Linked DNA regions of Schizosaccharomyces pombe. The main gene of each other region encodes a partner of the protein of the gene in region 2 in a complex. Each region holds a gene or a part of one and is shown on either strand. Other genes may lie near its edges.

Region 1 (4,197 bases), 2.0 Mb from region 2:
GGCGTTTACGAGGGCATTTCGATGAAACATTTGTTGCCCAAGCTCACCGCTGCCATTGACAAAAAGTCCGTTCAGGCAAAGGCCCGTCCTGTTCACTTTGAGCCACCAAAGGCTGTTGCTGCTGAGGGTTACGCCGAAGGAACCATTACCCACAAATGGTTCTGGCCTACGTTTGCCTCTTTTCTTCGTGAGTCCGATGTAGTGACTACCGAGACAGGTACCTCCAACTTTGGTATTTTGGATTGCATTTTCCCCAAAGGCTGCCAAAATCTCTCACAGGTATTATGGGGCTCAATTGGTTGGTCGGTTGGCGCTATGTTTGGTGCTACGTTGGGCATCAAGGATTCCGATGCTCCTCACCGTCGTTCCATATTGATTGTTGGTGACGGTTCCCTTCATTTAACTGTTCAGGAAATTTCTGCTACCATCCGTAACGGTCTCACCCCTATCATATTTGTAATTAACAATAAGGGATATACAATTGAACGTCTCATTCACGGTCTTCACGCTGTTTACAACGACATCAACACTGAATGGGACTATCAAAACCTTCTTAAAGGCTATGGTGCCAAAAATTCTCGCTCCTATAACATTCATTCAGAAAAGGAGCTCCTCGATCTCTTTAAAGATGAGGAATTTGGAAAAGCTGATGTAATTCAGCTCGTTGAAGTTCATATGCCTGTCTTGGATGCTCCTCGTGTTTTGATTGAGCAAGCCAAACTTACCGCTTCTCTTAACAAGCAGTAAAAAATATGGCTATGGCTATATTATTATGATATGTTTTTGATTTTGAAATTTACAATATTTCTCAAATGATGCTTTTGTTAGGTTAGTTAATTTGCAACAGTCGTTTTTTTTTTCTACGTCAATCCATATTTCTTTCATAAAATGAATGAATATATTGAAGTTTATGCAGCGGTTGTTTTTTTGTTGGTAATTAGGATTCATTGAATGATTTATTTTTTTTTTCTTTTTGCATCCCCTTACTCCAAGGTAGACTTGTCCAGATAATTCCCTGTTAGTATAAACTCAATAACATAAAAAAAGGTCATTGAGACGACTGGTAATGAGTAGCAGCAATAGAATCACTAAATAATATAGTACCTTCAATTTGGTCTCTCGTCTATGTCTTTGGCATAGATGGTAGATACAAAGCATTCGCTACAACCAAATCTTCCTCATGGCTTACAGATACCATTACGGGAGAAAGCGGAAATCGGGGATCATGAATAACAACGGAAGGGTAGCCTATATTAATCATAACAAAGTCAGTAACTTTACAAACCTTTTATTTTTAAACATTGAACATGGAAAACAAATGACACACCTGTGGGAGTTCGAACATACTCCATCATAGACATGTAAACTCGAAAATTCGGTTGTAAAGCTTTGAAAACAGCTTCTTTGACGCACCATCTACATAGGAAAATAACCGTTAAAACTATGAAACGATCATAAATATAGACAAGCATACCTAACAGCAAGCCATTTAGCCTGTTCGCTTAAACGAGGCAGCGAGGAATTGCTTTTAATCAGGTTGTACTTTTTAATTTCATTTTCACACAGACATTTTTTTAAAAAGTTCTTTTCCCATTCAGGAGAGCGTTGAATTAATCTTGAGATTCTTGAAATTTTTAAAATGTCAATCCCTAAACCCATTTCGATTTTTGATTCTTTATAACATGAACAGGAAATATTAATGGTAATGCAAGAAGAAAAAAAGAAATCTATGGCTTCAATAATTTTGAACGCTTAATTAATAATATATTGTAAACTAAATTTCCGACACACTAAACGAGATATAAAAATCTTTATCCTTAAATAAAATGAAATAAATTTATCTAATTCATTATCGATTAGTGCCCCCAAAGACATCAAATCCAATTCGTTTCGTAGCGAATGCAGTAGCAGGAGTTTTTACTGTAACAAGTGTACTCTCTACTCACTCCCAGTTACAAAAGTGTTCAAAGGGAACCAAAAATTATATATTTGTAATCCTTTCAATCACGAAAAAAAAAATTTCATATGGTAAGAGATAGAATTTATCTCTAGATAATACGAGTACTAACCATATAGTCACACTTTGAGATTTTATCCCTTGAAGGTCTTCGAAATGGTAAGCCAATTCATTTATGGGAAATGAAAAAGAAACTTAAAATTTACATTCAAACATCTATGATTCTTATAAAATGTATTAATCTTTCTGTGTGCTAATATTTGTTGCAAGATGGTCGACGGTGGGATGAGATGAGAAACTTTCAGTGTCGTATTGGAATCGAGCCTTCGGAGAATGGGTCGGCGTTTATTGAATTGGGTAACACAAAGGTCTTGTGTATAGTCGATGGACCCTCGGAGCCTGTAATAAAGTCCAAAGCTAGAGCTGACAGAACATTTGTGAATGTCGAAATAAACATTGCTTCTTTCAGCACAATAGATGTGAAAAAGAGATTTAAATCGGATAGGAGAATTCAATTGCAATGTTTAGCTTTACAAAATACATTTGAGGAGATAATTCAAACAGAATTATATCCCAGAAGTCAAATTTCTGTCTACTTGCATGTTTTACAAGATGATGGTGCAGTAATGGCATCTTGTATCAACGCTACTACTCTTGCCTTAATAGATGCTGGTATACCAGTTAAAGATTTCGTTTGCTGTAGTACAGCTGGGATTGTTGAGTCTGATATGCTGTTGGATTTAAACTCACTAGAGGAGTCAGCTCTTTCATGGTTGACGGTTGCTGTTTTGGGGAACATAAAAAAGGTCGTATATATGCAGCTGGAAACTAGTATGCATTTGGATTATTTGGAGTCAGTAATGAATATGGCGATCGCTGGATCAGAACATATTTATAACACGATGCAAAGTGCGGTTCGACAAAGCGCTAAACCGGCACTTGCAAGTCTCAGCTAATGACAAAATTTTGGGGAAAAAAACTATTAAAAATAAATGAACGGGAAGATTAATTTTTATAATTATACATTGATAAGTCATCACAATTGCAACTTTACTTAGCTCTACGATATTCTGACAAAACGTATACAGCTTTACTCATTTTATTCCTAGTACAACGTTTTTGTCCTTATCCTTGGTATTTCTGTATAAGTATCAAAAAAATCACCTCGAATATCGTATATAATCTTTTAATGATTGCGTCCCTTTTTTGTCTAAAGGGGCTTATATTACAAAAAATATGGATTGTACTGTAGATATTATGCATCAAAAAAGGCTCATTAATTAGTTGAAGATTTTATGAATAAATTCGGTTATTCAGATCTCACTTATTATAATAAATTGATTATTTTTTGGGGGAGGCTTTCATAAACAACCGGGAATTTTTCATTCAACAGATATTACAGATTGATGTGGATTAAAAAGAAAATATATATATATATATATATTTTTTTAGATTTTTAGATATAAGAAACCTAAGGTTTATTATGAGAATCGTAAAACTGTTTTTCGAGATAAATGTTAAATTTGTTAATGTTAAAATATGAAAAACACAGTATTTTTATTTTATATATTTCTATAATGGTGCAAACTAACAGTAGCTCTTGTAGCTCAGTGGTAGAGCGCCTGTCTCGTAAACAGGAGGTCCAGTGTTCGAGTCACTGCCGGAGCAGTTTTTATATTTTTCGATCACAGATCGGCCTTTCTAATAAGCATTGAAAGCTACAAAATGAGTATACTAAGATACTTATTAATGCATATTCTTGTAAATAGGGTTTCTCACAATTCATCGAATATACATACTCAAATTCTGCCGTTACTAGTTGATTGCTGATTTCAAGGACATCTTGATTAATAAAATGGAAGAATCGCTGTAGGATCAACAGTTAATATTACCTTCGTTTTAAAAATGAGGAATCTCGTGCCGTTCAACCAAAGTAAAAATGAAACTTCGTCAAACTGCATGACTAAGTTTCCCCTTTCTGTTTTTGATGCTTTCATAGCACTGTCAAGAATACCGTTGCGCAAATATCTGGCAATTATATACATACCAGTTCATCGCGGCCTGATTTAAGTTTTGTACGTTTTATTGTTTTCAATTGTTTTTACTAGACAGCATACTGAAATATGCCTTCAACAGTTTTTAATTTTATCAGTTTGATTGAATACATCAGTTTCCCTAAATGCTTTCTATCTTTGCCTTCAAAAACTTATTGCTTATACATGTTATAAATATACTATTTA
Region 2 (3,940 bases):
TTTCGGTATCACTTTGCTCCGTACCACTGACCGCGTCAAAGTCGAGGGCGAAGAATACTCTTTGGTTGATTTGATTGACCAACCTGTTGAAGCTATCGGATGGCCTTTGTGTCAACCCTCTGACTTGAAGTCCAAAAACAAGATTGGCAATGTCAGCATCGAGGAGGGTCAGAAGGATGTCAAGTCTCCCGTTACTGTCGATAAGGAGAAGGTTCGTCAGGCGATTGTCAATTCGATGGAGAATCTCATCAAAGCAGAGCCTAAAATTACAAAGTTCGATACGATGGCTGGTGATGGTGACTGTGGTACTACTTTGAAGCGTGGTGCTGAAGGTGTTTTGAAGTTTGTTAAATCCGACAAATTCTCTGACGATCCTATTCGTATTGTTCGTGATATCGCAGATGTTATTGAAGACAATATGGATGGTACATCTGGTGCTTTGTACGCCATTTTCTTCCATGGCTTTGCGAAGGGCATGAAAGACACCTTGGAGAAGAGCAAGGACATTTCATCTAAGACATGGGCTGCTGGTTTGAAGGTTGCTCTTGATACTCTTTTCAAGTATACTCCCGCTCGTCCTGGTGACAGCACTATGTGTGATGCTCTTGTTCCATTTGTCGAAACATTTGTTAAAACTAATGATCTTAATGCTGCCGTAGAGGAGGCTCGTAAAGGTGCTGATGCTACTGCAGATATGCAAGCCAAACTTGGACGTGCTGTCTACGTTGGTGATGATGTTAAAGTTCCCGATGCCGGCGCTCTTGGTGTCGTTGCAATTGTCGAAGGATTTACGAAATAATTGGATACGAAATTTTTTTGGGATTGTAGAATTGGTATGATCTTAAAAACTATTTACGAGCACGAATAACAATTATATTTTCATTATGCATGCATTAATTATTGCTTACTTATCTTTGCATCTGTATTTGTATATTCATGCATTATAATAAGTAATTTTTTAATTAAAACAGTTGAGAAAGGACGAGTGTAGATATTGTATGAACACGCTGCTGTAATAAATAAAAGAACGACAGAAATTGTATGGGAATATTAGACACAGGCATTAAAGAAGAAACAATACACTTTATTCAGAAATGGTCCCTCCTAGATAAGGGCAAACCATTTTTGAATTAAACCCAATTGGACAAGAATTGTTAAATAGACTGTGCATATTATTCAAATTTTTTTTTCTGAATCTCGTTAGAGCTTTTTAATAAGGTCTTTACAGTACTTTATTTGCTCTTCATCAGACATGAATTCGCAATTTCTGATAGCTGTACAAATGAGGACCGTAGTAGAAAGATTTTCAGAATTGACCCAAACGCGACCATTCATTCCAACAGCAATTTCGAAAGGAATGTAGCTTCCTAGGGTCTGTAAAAGTGTATTTTTAGGAAGGATCAACTTCCTACAATGAGATAAAGATAAACCTGTTATCATATAACCGTTTTTAAGTTCACCATATCCTGCAGCTTTCCCTGTGGTAGCATCGAAACATTCTAACTCCGGTTCCATATCACGATCAGCGAGTGATACTCGAGCATACACAAGGCTTCCAACATTTAAATTGGGCCTACTTTTACGAGTCACATTTTCAAAAGCCAATGCATTCAATTGAGCAATATGAGCTGACCCAATATCTACTCGATAACCTTCCGCAAATCTAGAAATAATTTGCCCAATAACTTGATCATTTGTAGCAGGAATATATCTTTTTGTCCGTGAGTCTATCAACATAGCATTTTTTCCAGTTTGATGCAACCTCCCAGCTTTTGAGACCACTATTTCTTCTTCACGGTCTTTCTTTTGAAAGACTAAACCAGGACCTAAACGAATTGATCCATCCTGACTAATTATGGAGTCTGGTATCCGCTCACCAGGAAAGTAATAAGATAACAGACCTTTTTCTTCAACTTCAGCCATTTGGTTAACAGAAGAAAATTAGCTATTTGGGGTTTGATTTTTCGCGAGTTATACACTATAATTCGAGGATTAATGTCTTGGACGGTAAGTGTGTCTAAACTAATACTGTAAATCTCGTTAATTTTATAAATCACATTAGCCCAGACTGTGAAAAATAACGCAAACGTACATTGTGCTATAATGCTGTTTACGAGGATTTTCTGTATGTATGTCGTTAATAGGGATATCGAATTTAATCACATCGTAAGCAGACGTAGTTGTATTTGTATCATCTCAGTACGCGCTCTCATCTAACAAATGCACATAGTAAACACATGTTTGGATGACACTTACTCATCATTCCACGTTCATAAAAGGGATAGAGGGTTCTGCTGAAGGAGAGATAGAAGATGTAAGGCAAACTACTGTTTTTGATCCTCCGTTTTACGGACATCCGATGTTGGTTCCACCGTCGCCATCTTTGACTACGATGTTTCGAACGAGGTCTACAACGCCTGATGAAGAGGGAACTGCCATTGCAGAAATTGATCAACAAGATTGGGATATAATGGTAAAAGTTCCTACTTATGAGTATTACGGGTTCGTGATGTATTTGGTGTCAATGTTGGGGTTCGGCGTGTATATTGTTTGGGCTCTGACGCCTGCGCCTGTTCTCAAATTTTTTGAGATTCATTATTATCTATCTCGTTGGTGGGCTCTAGCTATTCCTACTTGGTTATTTGTTCTTGTTATTTACATTCACGTTGTGCTAAACGCTTACAATACCGAAGTATTGACTAAGCCATTTAGCAGCTTAGAATGTATCGTTGATCAATACGCACTCGTTGGTGAAGAAGATGGTGCTGCTCATGGTCGAGTTGTTGATCTTCGCCTATGTGATGTGAATAAACAACAACTGGAAGAAACTTAAAAAAGACTAAAAGCAGCTAAGTGATATCAGAATTCATTTTCTCCTTAAAAATCTTCATTATTTAAGGGACTTATTATCTATTGATGTCGTCGACCCATACAGATTTACTTTTAAATCCTGGTTTCCTTAAGTTTCACAATCAAAAAGTATATGTAAATGTATAATATTATAAGAAGGTTGATTAATGCTCTAGTCCTACTACTCCAACCTGCATACTCAAGATTAGATGTTTTTTATATTCCGCTAATAATATACCTAAGAGTTGTTCGTAAACAAAATGTTTTCAGACAAATAATTAGCTATACGAACAAAACACACCAAAACAAGTAAATGAATAGAAGAGAAGTAAAAACAGTATATCTCTTTTTAATAGTTTGACGAGAGTCGTTATTCCCAGTCATCATCGTCTTCATCATCGTCATCAACTTTTCTATTTGCTTCATCCTTCACCTCAAGAGAACTTTGAGAAGCTTCTATATTACTGGAAGATGATACTTTATTTTCCTCTTCTTCTTTAACTTCTCCATCAACCTCTCCATCATGGCTTGCGGGTTGAGTTTCAATTTGTAAGCCTTTTGAAACTGCTGACTCCAAATCATTGACGGTTTCATCTATCACTTCAGCTGCTGAATTATTCTCAGTAGTATCTTCTTCACTTGATTGCTTTTTTTCATCATTAACCTGTTCATTGTCACTTTCTTCTTCATCACTTCTTTCATCTCCCCAACTAAAAATTTCTTCTTCATCGTTTCCTGATTGAATTGCCTTTATCGGCTGTACAACCTCTTTATGCCAAAAAAATCGTTTCCAAAAATCATCATAAGAAACTTCAGAAGGTACTAAAGATTCCATCTGTTTCCTTAAATCAGGATATTCTTCCAAAAGTAAAGAGATCTCTTCAGTTTTCCCATCAATGGAAATTTCTTTTTCCCAGCTTTCAAACGTGATCCCATGAGAGGGTTCAGAGATAATTTGGGTAAAAGTATTTTCGTTTTGAACAAGTTCCAACAACTGTCTCTCGTGGCGATTTAAGAAAACAGACGAAGAGGCTTCGTGTGTAGGAGTCGATACATCGTCTTCTTTGGGTGATATCTGCAATGCTTGATC
Region 3 (4,364 bases), on a different chromosome or scaffold from region 2:
ATGCATCAATAGAAAAAAAAGTGTAACAGATTTAGCTATCCATCGGTTTATTGAATGCCACAATCAGTATCCATAAAGAGAATTCAAAAAAGAATCAATGTATATCAAACAAAGCAACGTAACGAAATTTAAAAATCAGAGTCCATTGGACCAGCAATTTCATCGCCAGATTCAGTGTCAATAGAAGACATGGTGTCATCATCTGAAGAGTCGTTCAAAGTTATATCAGCGTCTTCTTTATTAGCATACCGAGCGATATAATCTCGAACCTTGGCATAGTAGGTATTCGGCTCTCGCAATAATAGAGCTGCTGCCTCTCCATTTAGAGGGTCCGACGCATTAGGATAACGGAGTAGCTGTGGAAGAAAAACCTCAAAAATATTAATCATATCAAACATTGGAGACCAAGTTTGATTTATCACGTCCAAGCAAACACTTCCACTAAGCTCATCGATATTGGGATGAAATATACGATTTACAAATCCAATACTTGGAGATTTCCAAGGATACTCACTTGGCAGTTCAACATGAACTTTCCATATTCCACCTGAGTAAGGGGTTTCAGACGGTCCATGGAACCTAACGTAAAATTCTTGCATATTATCATTGACAAGAGTTACCTCGTAATCACTCATCAGCAGCTTCATAACGTCCGTCTCAATTCTGCGCCTTGGGCTCGACATTTTGATTTTTTATAGTTTTATTTCAAAACTAAAAAAGAACTCAATAATTTTAAGCTAGTGTAGTATTCAAATACGGTAATTTGCTGCAATAAAGGCAAATTCGCAAATTCAGCAGTTTTCGAGTAATTTTCAATAAAATCAAATTATTTTGGACTTTTGGAAAGATTCTTAGCTTCCGTTTTAAATGGTTCTATCCTATTGTCCGTGAATATATCAAATTTTTAAAAGCAACAACTAATAATCATCAATGACCTAATTTAAATGAAAGCAATTTTATTGTATAGAAGAATCCCCTCTTTATCGTCCTTCTTATTGTTAAATATATTTTAATTTACAAACGAGGCAATTGAGCATAAGTTTGGCTATGATGAAGACGCGGAATTTCGCTGATTTGGAGGTTATAAGAAGCAGGTAACAGTATGTGAGTAACAATGATTCTAGTACTACCAAGATGCTTTCGTCTCAATGCAGCTTGATAAATTAGTATCAAATATATGTATTAATAAAATCTCAGCATTTGTTTTGTTCTATTGGAATCGATAAATAGACTGGAAAAAATTGGAAAGAGTTAATCGTTTGGCTACTGAATATATTCGCGAGTGATAAAAACTAAGATCTTTAATTTAATATTTACTCGTATTTTTCATAACAAACGTAACTTGCGGATGGCCAAGCTGATTTCAAAGAAGAAAATCTACTTAGGGAAGTCATCTGCTTGTTTGTCGAGAAAAGATAGCGTCTCCCTTCAAATGTGTGTTAAGGAAAAAAAGGCAAAACTTGAGCATTGCCAACTAATAGAAGAGAATTTTAAAAAGAAATAAATTTGATTATGTAATTTGTAAAATTGGTATAAATATTAGCCATCAACAGAATATTATTATAGAGGTAGAATTCCAATATCTAAGGATCTTCGGATTTCGACTTCTCTAGTAGCAGTGCATGATTAATTACTAACCGAGTATCTTTGGCATTCTTTATGCATTTTTCCGTCAAAAACGAAAGGCGACTCGGAGAGCAAGTGCCTCTTTCCCATACTTGAGTAACGTGACCAAGAGAAGCCATGTACCCCATAACTACAGAACCTTTAGCAGCCCTTGCACGCTCATCCACATAATCAGGATCAATCCAATATTCATCCGTATTGGGATTAAATAATACACTCGAGCCCGTCACCAAATCTATGCAGTCGATGTTAGCATCAGCTATTGCACTTGATGCGCAACTTATAGCAGCAGCCAATGTTGCTAATGCACCGTCACTTTCAATCACTTGAATATAAACGTCTATAGAACTTTTCGGATACAAATGCAGTAATATACTTGGAGAAATTGCTGCTTCAATCATTTGGGAATAGCTTTTTTCTTCGACGGTTTGTACATGTCCCTGACGAACAGAAGTAGAAAATGGGGATAATCTAAATTCACAATTCAACTTTGCTGATGAACGAAAAGCAAAAGTCTTACTAGGTCGAGGACCAGAGACTGTGCATGCAATTTTTATTTTTTCTGATTCAAAATAACTGCTACCGACAGCTTTAGTAGCCCACCCTAATTTTAGATCTAATTGTCAGTGAAAATGTTAATAATCGGTATCTTACATATTTTTCGACATCTGTCAACATCACGAGTCCGCGTGAAAACAGGTTGTTCTGGCTCTTCAAAATAAGGGGGAACGGATACACTCGGTCCATACACTCTCTTTCTATCTGACATCGATTTATAGAGTATTTGTTTTAACCTTGATGTACCGTTAAGAAAACAATACAGAAGCAGCCTGGATTTTCAGTGGTGGCTTCGCGTTTTGGGATGACGCGTTTGCATGCCTTAATATATATAACGATATTGTTTGATTCGGTGTATATATGACATATAGAAAGCAATTTTATCGCATCTAAAAGATTTTTGTAATGACTAAGCGTTTCAATCAGTAAGCTGGAAAATAAAAATGCTTTTAGAATAATGGTGCAAAATTTTTTTTTATCCAGCCAGCATACTTCAAGTGCGCGCTCTTAAATTTAATGAGTAATAAATTGTTAAGCATGTGTAACGAAAGAGCTCGCTATTTGAACATATAAAAACACTATATTATAGCCTACGTATGACTCTCCTCTGCCAACACCACGTTTCGTAATGAGTGTATGTAATTTGTTTAAATGATTCAAGTATTTTTCGCTTCTTACTAACATTGCAAAAGAATAACATGAACATTGATCAAACGGATCAAAATACTATCGATGAAGGGCTTTACTCTAGACAACTGTAAGTTTTATTAGAAACATGAAGAGTCATTATTACCGGTGTTGATTTGGTTTAGCTTTATGTTTTTATATTCTTTCTTGTACTGAGCGCTTGCTAATTTATCTAAAGTTATGTTTTAGGCCATGAGGCTATGAAACAAATGAGTCAGTCGAATGTCTTAATCATTGGCTGCAAAGGTTTAGGCGTTGAAATAGCAAAGAACGTTTGTCTAGCAGGTGTAAAAAGCGTTACTCTTTACGATCCTCAACCTACACGCATTGAGGACTTATCATCACAATATTTTCTTACAGAAGACGATATTGGTGTTCCTCGTGCAAAAGTAACGGTATCAAAGTTAGCAGAGCTTAATCAATATGTGCCTGTTTCTGTAGTTGATGAACTTTCAACAGAGTATCTAAAAAACTTCAAATGCGTGGTTGTCACAGAAACTTCTCTTACGAAACAGCTAGAAATTAACGACTTTACACACAAAAACCATATTGCTTATATTGCTGCTGACAGCCGTGGTCTTTTTGGATCGATATTTTGTGATTTTGGTGAGAACTTTATTTGTACTGACACTGATGGAAATGAACCTTTAACTGGAATGATCGCTTCAATTACTGATGATGGAGTTGTTACCATGCTTGAAGAAACTCGTCATGGATTGGAGAATGGTGATTTTGTTAAATTTACCGAAGTGAAGGGTATGCCTGGTTTAAATGATGGCACTCCTCGTAAAGTTGAAGTGAAAGGTCCATATACCTTTTCTATCGGATCTGTTAAAGATTTAGGAAGTGCCGGTTACAATGGTGTCTTTACCCAAGTTAAAGTTCCAACCAAAATATCTTTCAAATCTCTCCGCGAATCGCTCAAGGACCCTGAATATGTATATCCTGACTTTGGTAAAATGATGAGACCTCCACAATACCACATTGCTTTCCAGGCCCTTTCAGCATTTGCCGATGCGCATGAAGGTTCATTGCCTCGACCCCGTAACGACATTGATGCAGCTGAATTTTTCGAATTTTGTAAGAAAATTGCAAGCACACTTCAATTTGATGTTGAACTCGATGAAAAACTAATTAAGGAAATTTCATACCAGGCAAGAGGTGATTTGGTTGCAATGTCCGCGTTTTTGGGCGGTGCTGTAGCACAGGAAGTGTTGAAAGCTACCACCAGTAAATTTTACCCATTGAAGCAATACTTCTATTTTGACTCCTTAGAAAGCTTGCCATCTTCTGTAACGATCAGTGAAGAAACTTGTAAACCTCGTGGCTGTCGATACGATGGGCAAATCGCTGTTTTCGGTTCGGAATTTCAAGAGAAAATAGCTTCTTTGAGTACGTTTTTGGTTGGTGCTGGCGCTATTGGATGTGAAATGCTGAAAAACTGGGCTATGATGGGTGTCGCTACTGGTGAAAGTGGTCATATTTCTGTTACT
Region 4 (5,077 bases), on a different chromosome or scaffold from region 2:
GAGGTACGATTTGATTATAAGTGAATTTGCAACTTTAACATCATTTTCATCAGCTCGCCGAAAACTTATATACTAATGGGTTTGTTTCTTACCCACGTACTGAAACCGACCAATTTGACTCTTCAATGAATTTGCATGCGATTATCCAAAAACTAACAGGTGCACAAGAATGGGACTCTTATGCAGAAGGGTAAATATAATTTTTCTTATAGTGGCTTCCGTAATAACTAATGTTAGGCTTTTGGCTGGAGATTATCGACCGCCCCGAAAAGGTAAACACAATGATCGCGCTCATCCACCTATTCATCCCGTTCAAATGGTTCACCGGTCAGCGCTTCCTTCCCAAGATCATTGGAAAGTATATGAGCTAATTACAAGAAGATTTTTAGCTTGTTGTTCTGACAATGCCAAAGGAGCCGAAACGTTGGTGCAGGTTAAAATGGAAGAAGAGCTTTTTTCTAAAAAGGGATTGCTAGTGACAGAGAAAAATTATTTAGAGGTTTATCCATATGAGAAATGGGAAAGTTCGGATCAATTACCAGAGTATAGACTTCACGAGGAATTCCAACCCCACATTCTCGACATGATGGACAGTTCAACGTCCTCCCCTTCCTATATCACTGAACCGGAGTTAATTGCCTTGATGGATGCCAATGGAATCGGGACAGATGCTACTATGGCAGAGCACATCGAAAAAGTTCAGGAGAGAGAATATGTCATAAAACGAAAAAAAAGGGGCCAAGGTGTAACTGAATTTGTACCAAGCTCTTTAGGAGTTGCTTTGGCAAAAGGCTATGATGAAATTGGTTTAGAGTGGAGTTTGACCAAGCCTTTCTTGCGAAAAGAAATGGAAGTTCAACTTAAAAACATAGAAAATGGCCAACTTAATCGGAATGTTCTAGTTCATATGATCCTTACCCAATTCCGTGATGTTTTTCATCTCACAAAGCAAAGATTCGATTGTTTAAAAAATGTAAGTCAAATTATCATTGTTTCCTACTTTTCCAATTTTCAAAATCCCATACTTTATTTATTAATCTTTTCATTTTATGGTTGCTAACAAATATAACGCAGAGTTGCAGAGTCTACCTTATGAGTCATAATGAACCGCAAACCTAGATAACCAGACCGCTCGTATACTTTTATTAACTTATTACCTTTCGTTTTTAAGCGTCGCATTAAGACCTTCATTTTTTTGGATAGCATCAGCCTTAAAAACATAAAACATCTTGAGTTGGATCCGTTAAGCAAGTCGACTTAATATCGTCAATGTCAGAAAAGACTAGCACAGTTACAATACACTATGGAAATCAGCGATTTCCGGTAGCAGTCAATCTAAATGAGACGTTAAGTGAACTGATTGATGATTTACTTGAAACGACTGAGATTTCTGAGAAGAAAGTCAAGCTTTTTTACGCTGGCAAGCGTTTAAAAGACAAAAAAGCCTCGTTATCAAAATTGGGTTTAAAAAATCATAGTAAAATTCTATGTATAAGACCACATAAGCAACAACGAGGTTCCAAGGAAAAAGACACGGTTGAGCCCGCTCCGAAAGCGGAAGCGGAGAATCCTGTATTTTCGCGTATTTCTGGAGAAATAAAAGCCATCGATCAGTATGTTGACAAAGAACTTTCCCCCATGTACGACAATTACGTAAATAAACCGTCGAACGATCCAAAGCAGAAAAACAAACAGAAACTAATGATAAGTGAACTACTTTTACAACAGCTTTTAAAATTGGATGGAGTTGACGTACTGGGCAGCGAGAAATTGCGTTTTGAACGGAAGCAACTTGTTTCTAAGATCCAAAAAATGTTGGATCACGTTGACCAAACAAGCCAAGAAGTGGCCGCATAGGCTTTATTATTTTTATAGACGTTACCATTTCATTTCCCTTAAATTATTCCCATCTACTATACTTGCTATATGACTTTGACCTAAACGAAATACAATGACCAACCATAGTAACCAAAAATACCGATGCATGCCTCTTCATGTAACAAAATTGATCCTGATTCCGTAACCCAAGTATTGCATTTATATATATATATAGAGAGAAAGATGCTATTATATAGGAAATGGAGACCAACCCAACCCAATTCATTTATGGAAGAATATCAAAAAATCCTAAACCCTTAAAAGATAGAATATCGCTGCTGGCGTTCAAAAGCTTAGTACCAACGGTAGACGCAGTCTCTAACAATTCTATATATCGCTCTACAGTTATTGCACGTCCAGTGGATGCGTAGCCTCCTCCAGTACCCACGACCCTGGTATAGCTAATAGCACCACTAGCTTGAACACCAATCGCATATGTCACTTGAGCGACACTTGATTCCTCAATTGTAGGATCAACAATTATCACTTGATCAATGCTACTAACCAAAATTATGACTGACATTAATTCTAACCCTTGCAAAGGTAATGCATTTTCCCATTCTGAATCAACATCGTATTCTTCGGAAGGCTCATATTTAGTAGATCCAATAGTGATGTCTGTGACATTGGGGGTAGAAATTTTAGGTAAACGTGTAGTCTGTAATGCTAAATAAGCAGCAAGACTTAAAGCTGAAAGAATGTTTTCGTAAGGAGACGAAGAAAGTATTACAACAGCATCTACGTGAATAATCCAAGCTTTAGATGGTGTAAATTTCAAATAGTCGACAGCAAGTGCGTTTAATAAATCCTGAAGGGCACTTGTAAGGAATGAAGGAATTTCATCGGTTTCACGATTCTGGATTGAAACAGATGGAGAACTACATAAAAAGTGTTAGCATACCAGCTTTTTTCAATTGATTCATATTGTTTGTTACGCCAAACAATGTTAATACGAACTCCAAATATCTCACGTACATTTCAACTGAAGCGACATATTTACCACCTTCGGGAGTAGCATCACCCACTTCTGCTTTTACACCTATGACTATCTCCACCGAAGACGCCCATTTAACTCTAGCAGAACCATTTGTACCAGGCAGAACATCTACTTGTCCAGAAAGCGGACGAAGCTGGTCTATCGAACGTCCATCATTCCGAATTGCAGGCTCAAATTCTGTTATTGATTTGTGTGTGTACGATAGTTCTGGTAATGACAATTGCATATGTTGGCTAATGGTATATCGTTTAAGAATAATTTTCCTTGCAATATTGCGTTGAGTTCTTGCGTATATTCTAAAGTTCGTTATGTATGCTACGCAGTTTTGTATCTGTTTAACGATATGCAAAACCGCGATAAGTTTTACATGTGATCTGTTATATTATAATACATAGGTATAACGGCTATGAGTCATTGAAAATATTGGTATATGTAGGTATTATTTATGATCTATTTCTGTTATTAGCTTCTGACTAAAGTGAGGAACGAAATTTAGTTTCCTATTTAAATTGTTGAACATATAAACTAAATATTTGTTTCAGATATCAAATGATTTGCCCCAATATCTATCATCTACGAGGCTATGTTTAAATAGAACATGTTCCAAATGTGATACACAACGTAGTAAATTATAGCGTTGTCAGTACTACTGCGACATGTTTTTTTATTAGCTAAGACTTGTTTATTGACACAGCAGAAAAGGCGCATTCTCTAAAAATTTCGCAAGTTTACATCAGTTGAAAATGCTTGGGCAGTTGGTGCTTCATTATAACCTATTCCTTCAAAATTTTGGATGCAAAACCTACGCTGAAATATTATTTACCACTTTGATGCAATTTGGCCGAGTAGCAATAAGATCATATCTGGTGTTCTGTTCGATAGCGTGCCATCTGTAAGTATCCATCCACAAGCAAGTTGGGCCTATTGGATCATGGATTTAAAGACGTTGTCATCGAAATAAAACTATCCAATTTCTTCTTTGATATAGAGCTAGTTCACTCGTTGCCTAGACCTATTTAGTTAAGGCTGTCTGTAAAATTTACCAAACGCATCAATTGTGTCCCTGATAACGTGCGTCGATTTTGGATTGTCAAATATGATTACAGTAGATCTGTTATTAGCTTGCAGTTCTCCTTTGTTCTCATGCGTAGATGTGATAGAATCCTCCCATTGCTATAGCTTCTAACTGAATTTAGGAACGTGATTCGATTATAAATTATTTATAATAATCGATTATTAAGGGATGTAACGGATTGTCAATATAAACAGACAGATCTCACTAGTATTTATACATTTGTGACACATGTTACAAGACGTAGTTCTCCATGATATACTGTACTATTGCAAACACGTTATTGAGATTAGCGTTTGACGCTAATCTGTCCTATAAAAAAACTACAAAAACTGTAGAACAAACAATAGCTATAAGACAATGTTTGGTACATGATATTTCATATTCATGATTTGAGATCATTTAGAGACTATGTGCAAAAATAAAAATTCAAAGAATGTATCCATAAGTGAAATTTGATTAAAGATGAGAGATAAAATTTATGGTGATAATCGCAGATTTTTTAAAACCAGGGAAGAACGTTCCAAGATAAAAAAATAAATTCTACCACCGATAAAGCAAGATTAAAAGTTAAATGATTAAAATAAAGAGCAGAAAATCTGTATGTGAAAGTAAAAACCGACAGAAAAGATTTATATACAGTCTAAGGAGTTGGAGATATAGGTTGGTAGCGTTGTTTGCTAAGACCAAATAATCCAAATCTCCTGCACAAATAAATTGAGAATAAAATAATGATAGTTAAAGCAACAGGAATCAAACCCAAATAAAGCCATTTGTAGTTTCCATTACCTAAATCCGGAGAGGGTTTAGGTACCGATGGTAAGCTGGCAAAGTCATTATTAAAGAAAGCAGTAATCAAGGTCTTCATTTCATTAGGATGATCGTATGGAACCATGTGACTAGCTTCAACTATGCGAGCAAAGGTCAGGTTCCGGGAACTAACATAGGAGCCCGATGGTTGATCAGAATAGCCCGGAAGATAAAATGGTTGAGCAGATTGATTTTGAAAACCAACAGCACCATTCCACTCCAGTGATCGGGTTAATTTTTCGCCAGATAAATAATTACAAAGAAAGTCATTTTCGCCGTAAAACAACAAAATAGGAACCGTAGATACAAGGTCCTGGATT

The links.
Region 1: rrp40 (region 2) and rrp41 share a complex: the UniProt entries of both Schizosaccharomyces pombe proteins name them as parts of the RNA exosome complex.
Region 3: rrp40 (region 2) and mtr3 share a complex: the UniProt entries of both Schizosaccharomyces pombe proteins name them as parts of the RNA exosome complex.
Region 4: rrp40 (region 2) and rrp42 share a complex: the UniProt entries of both Schizosaccharomyces pombe proteins name them as parts of the RNA exosome complex.

What each region holds. Positions count from the first base shown.
Region 1 is NC_003424.3:3,161,196-3,165,392, forward strand, and holds rrp41 (exosome 3'-5' phosphorolytic exoribonuclease Rrp41), read left to right. Parts: upstream 1-1,931; 5' UTR 1,932-2,025; coding exon 2,026-2,028; exon of another isoform or gene 2,029-2,076; coding exon 2,077-2,116; exon of another isoform or gene 2,117-2,227; coding exon 2,228-2,913; 3' UTR 2,914-3,159; downstream 3,160-4,197. Other genes in the region: pdc201 (pyruvate decarboxylase), read left to right, coding at 1-747; ppt2 (holo-[acyl-carrier-protein] synthase new8), read right to left, coding at 1,124-1,248, 1,328-1,416, 1,475-1,659. UniProt on the Schizosaccharomyces pombe protein: Non-catalytic component of the RNA exosome complex which has 3'->5' exoribonuclease activity and participates in a multitude of cellular RNA processing and degradation events.
Region 2 is NC_003424.3:1,178,009-1,181,948, forward strand, and holds rrp40 (exosome subunit Rrp40), read right to left. Parts: upstream 1,933-3,940; 5' UTR 1,924-1,932; coding exon 1,201-1,923; 3' UTR 848-1,200; downstream 1-847. Other genes in the region: dihydroxyacetone kinase Dak1, read left to right, coding at 1-799; mug84 (pig-P phosphatidylinositol N-acetylglucosaminyltransferase subunit), read left to right, coding at 2,246-2,833; SPOM_SPAC22A12.14C (BSD domain-containing protein), read right to left, coding at 3,221-3,940. UniProt on the Schizosaccharomyces pombe protein: Non-catalytic component of the RNA exosome complex which has 3'->5' exoribonuclease activity and participates in a multitude of cellular RNA processing and degradation events.
Region 3 is NC_003423.3:3,885,884-3,890,247, forward strand, and holds mtr3 (exosome complex component mtr3), read right to left. Parts: upstream 2,435-4,364; 5' UTR 2,396-2,434; coding exon 2,281-2,395; exon of another isoform or gene 2,243-2,280; coding exon 1,584-2,242; 3' UTR 1,022-1,583; downstream 1-1,021. Other genes in the region: ubiquitin conjugating enzyme Ubc8, read right to left, coding at 129-683; uba1 (ubiquitin-activating enzyme E1), read left to right, coding at 2,813-2,818, 2,877-2,941, 3,050-4,364. UniProt on the Schizosaccharomyces pombe protein: Non-catalytic component of the RNA exosome complex which has 3'->5' exoribonuclease activity and participates in a multitude of cellular RNA processing and degradation events.
Region 4 is NC_003423.3:4,229,977-4,235,053, reverse strand, and holds rrp42 (exosome subunit Rrp42), read right to left. Parts: upstream 3,114-5,077; 5' UTR 3,102-3,113; coding exon 2,854-3,101; exon of another isoform or gene 2,788-2,853; intron 2,757-2,787; coding exon 2,105-2,756; 3' UTR 1,858-2,104; coding exon of another isoform or gene 1,270-1,857; 3' UTR 1,120-1,269; coding exon of another isoform or gene 1,075-1,119; 3' UTR 974-1,074; downstream 1-973. Other genes in the region: top3 (DNA topoisomerase III), read left to right, coding at 1-3, 54-190, 238-973, 1,075-1,119; BAG family molecular chaperone regulator Bag101, read left to right, coding at 1,270-1,857; kex1 (serine carboxypeptidase), read right to left, coding at 4,591-5,077. UniProt on the Schizosaccharomyces pombe protein: Non-catalytic component of the RNA exosome complex which has 3'->5' exoribonuclease activity and participates in a multitude of cellular RNA processing and degradation events.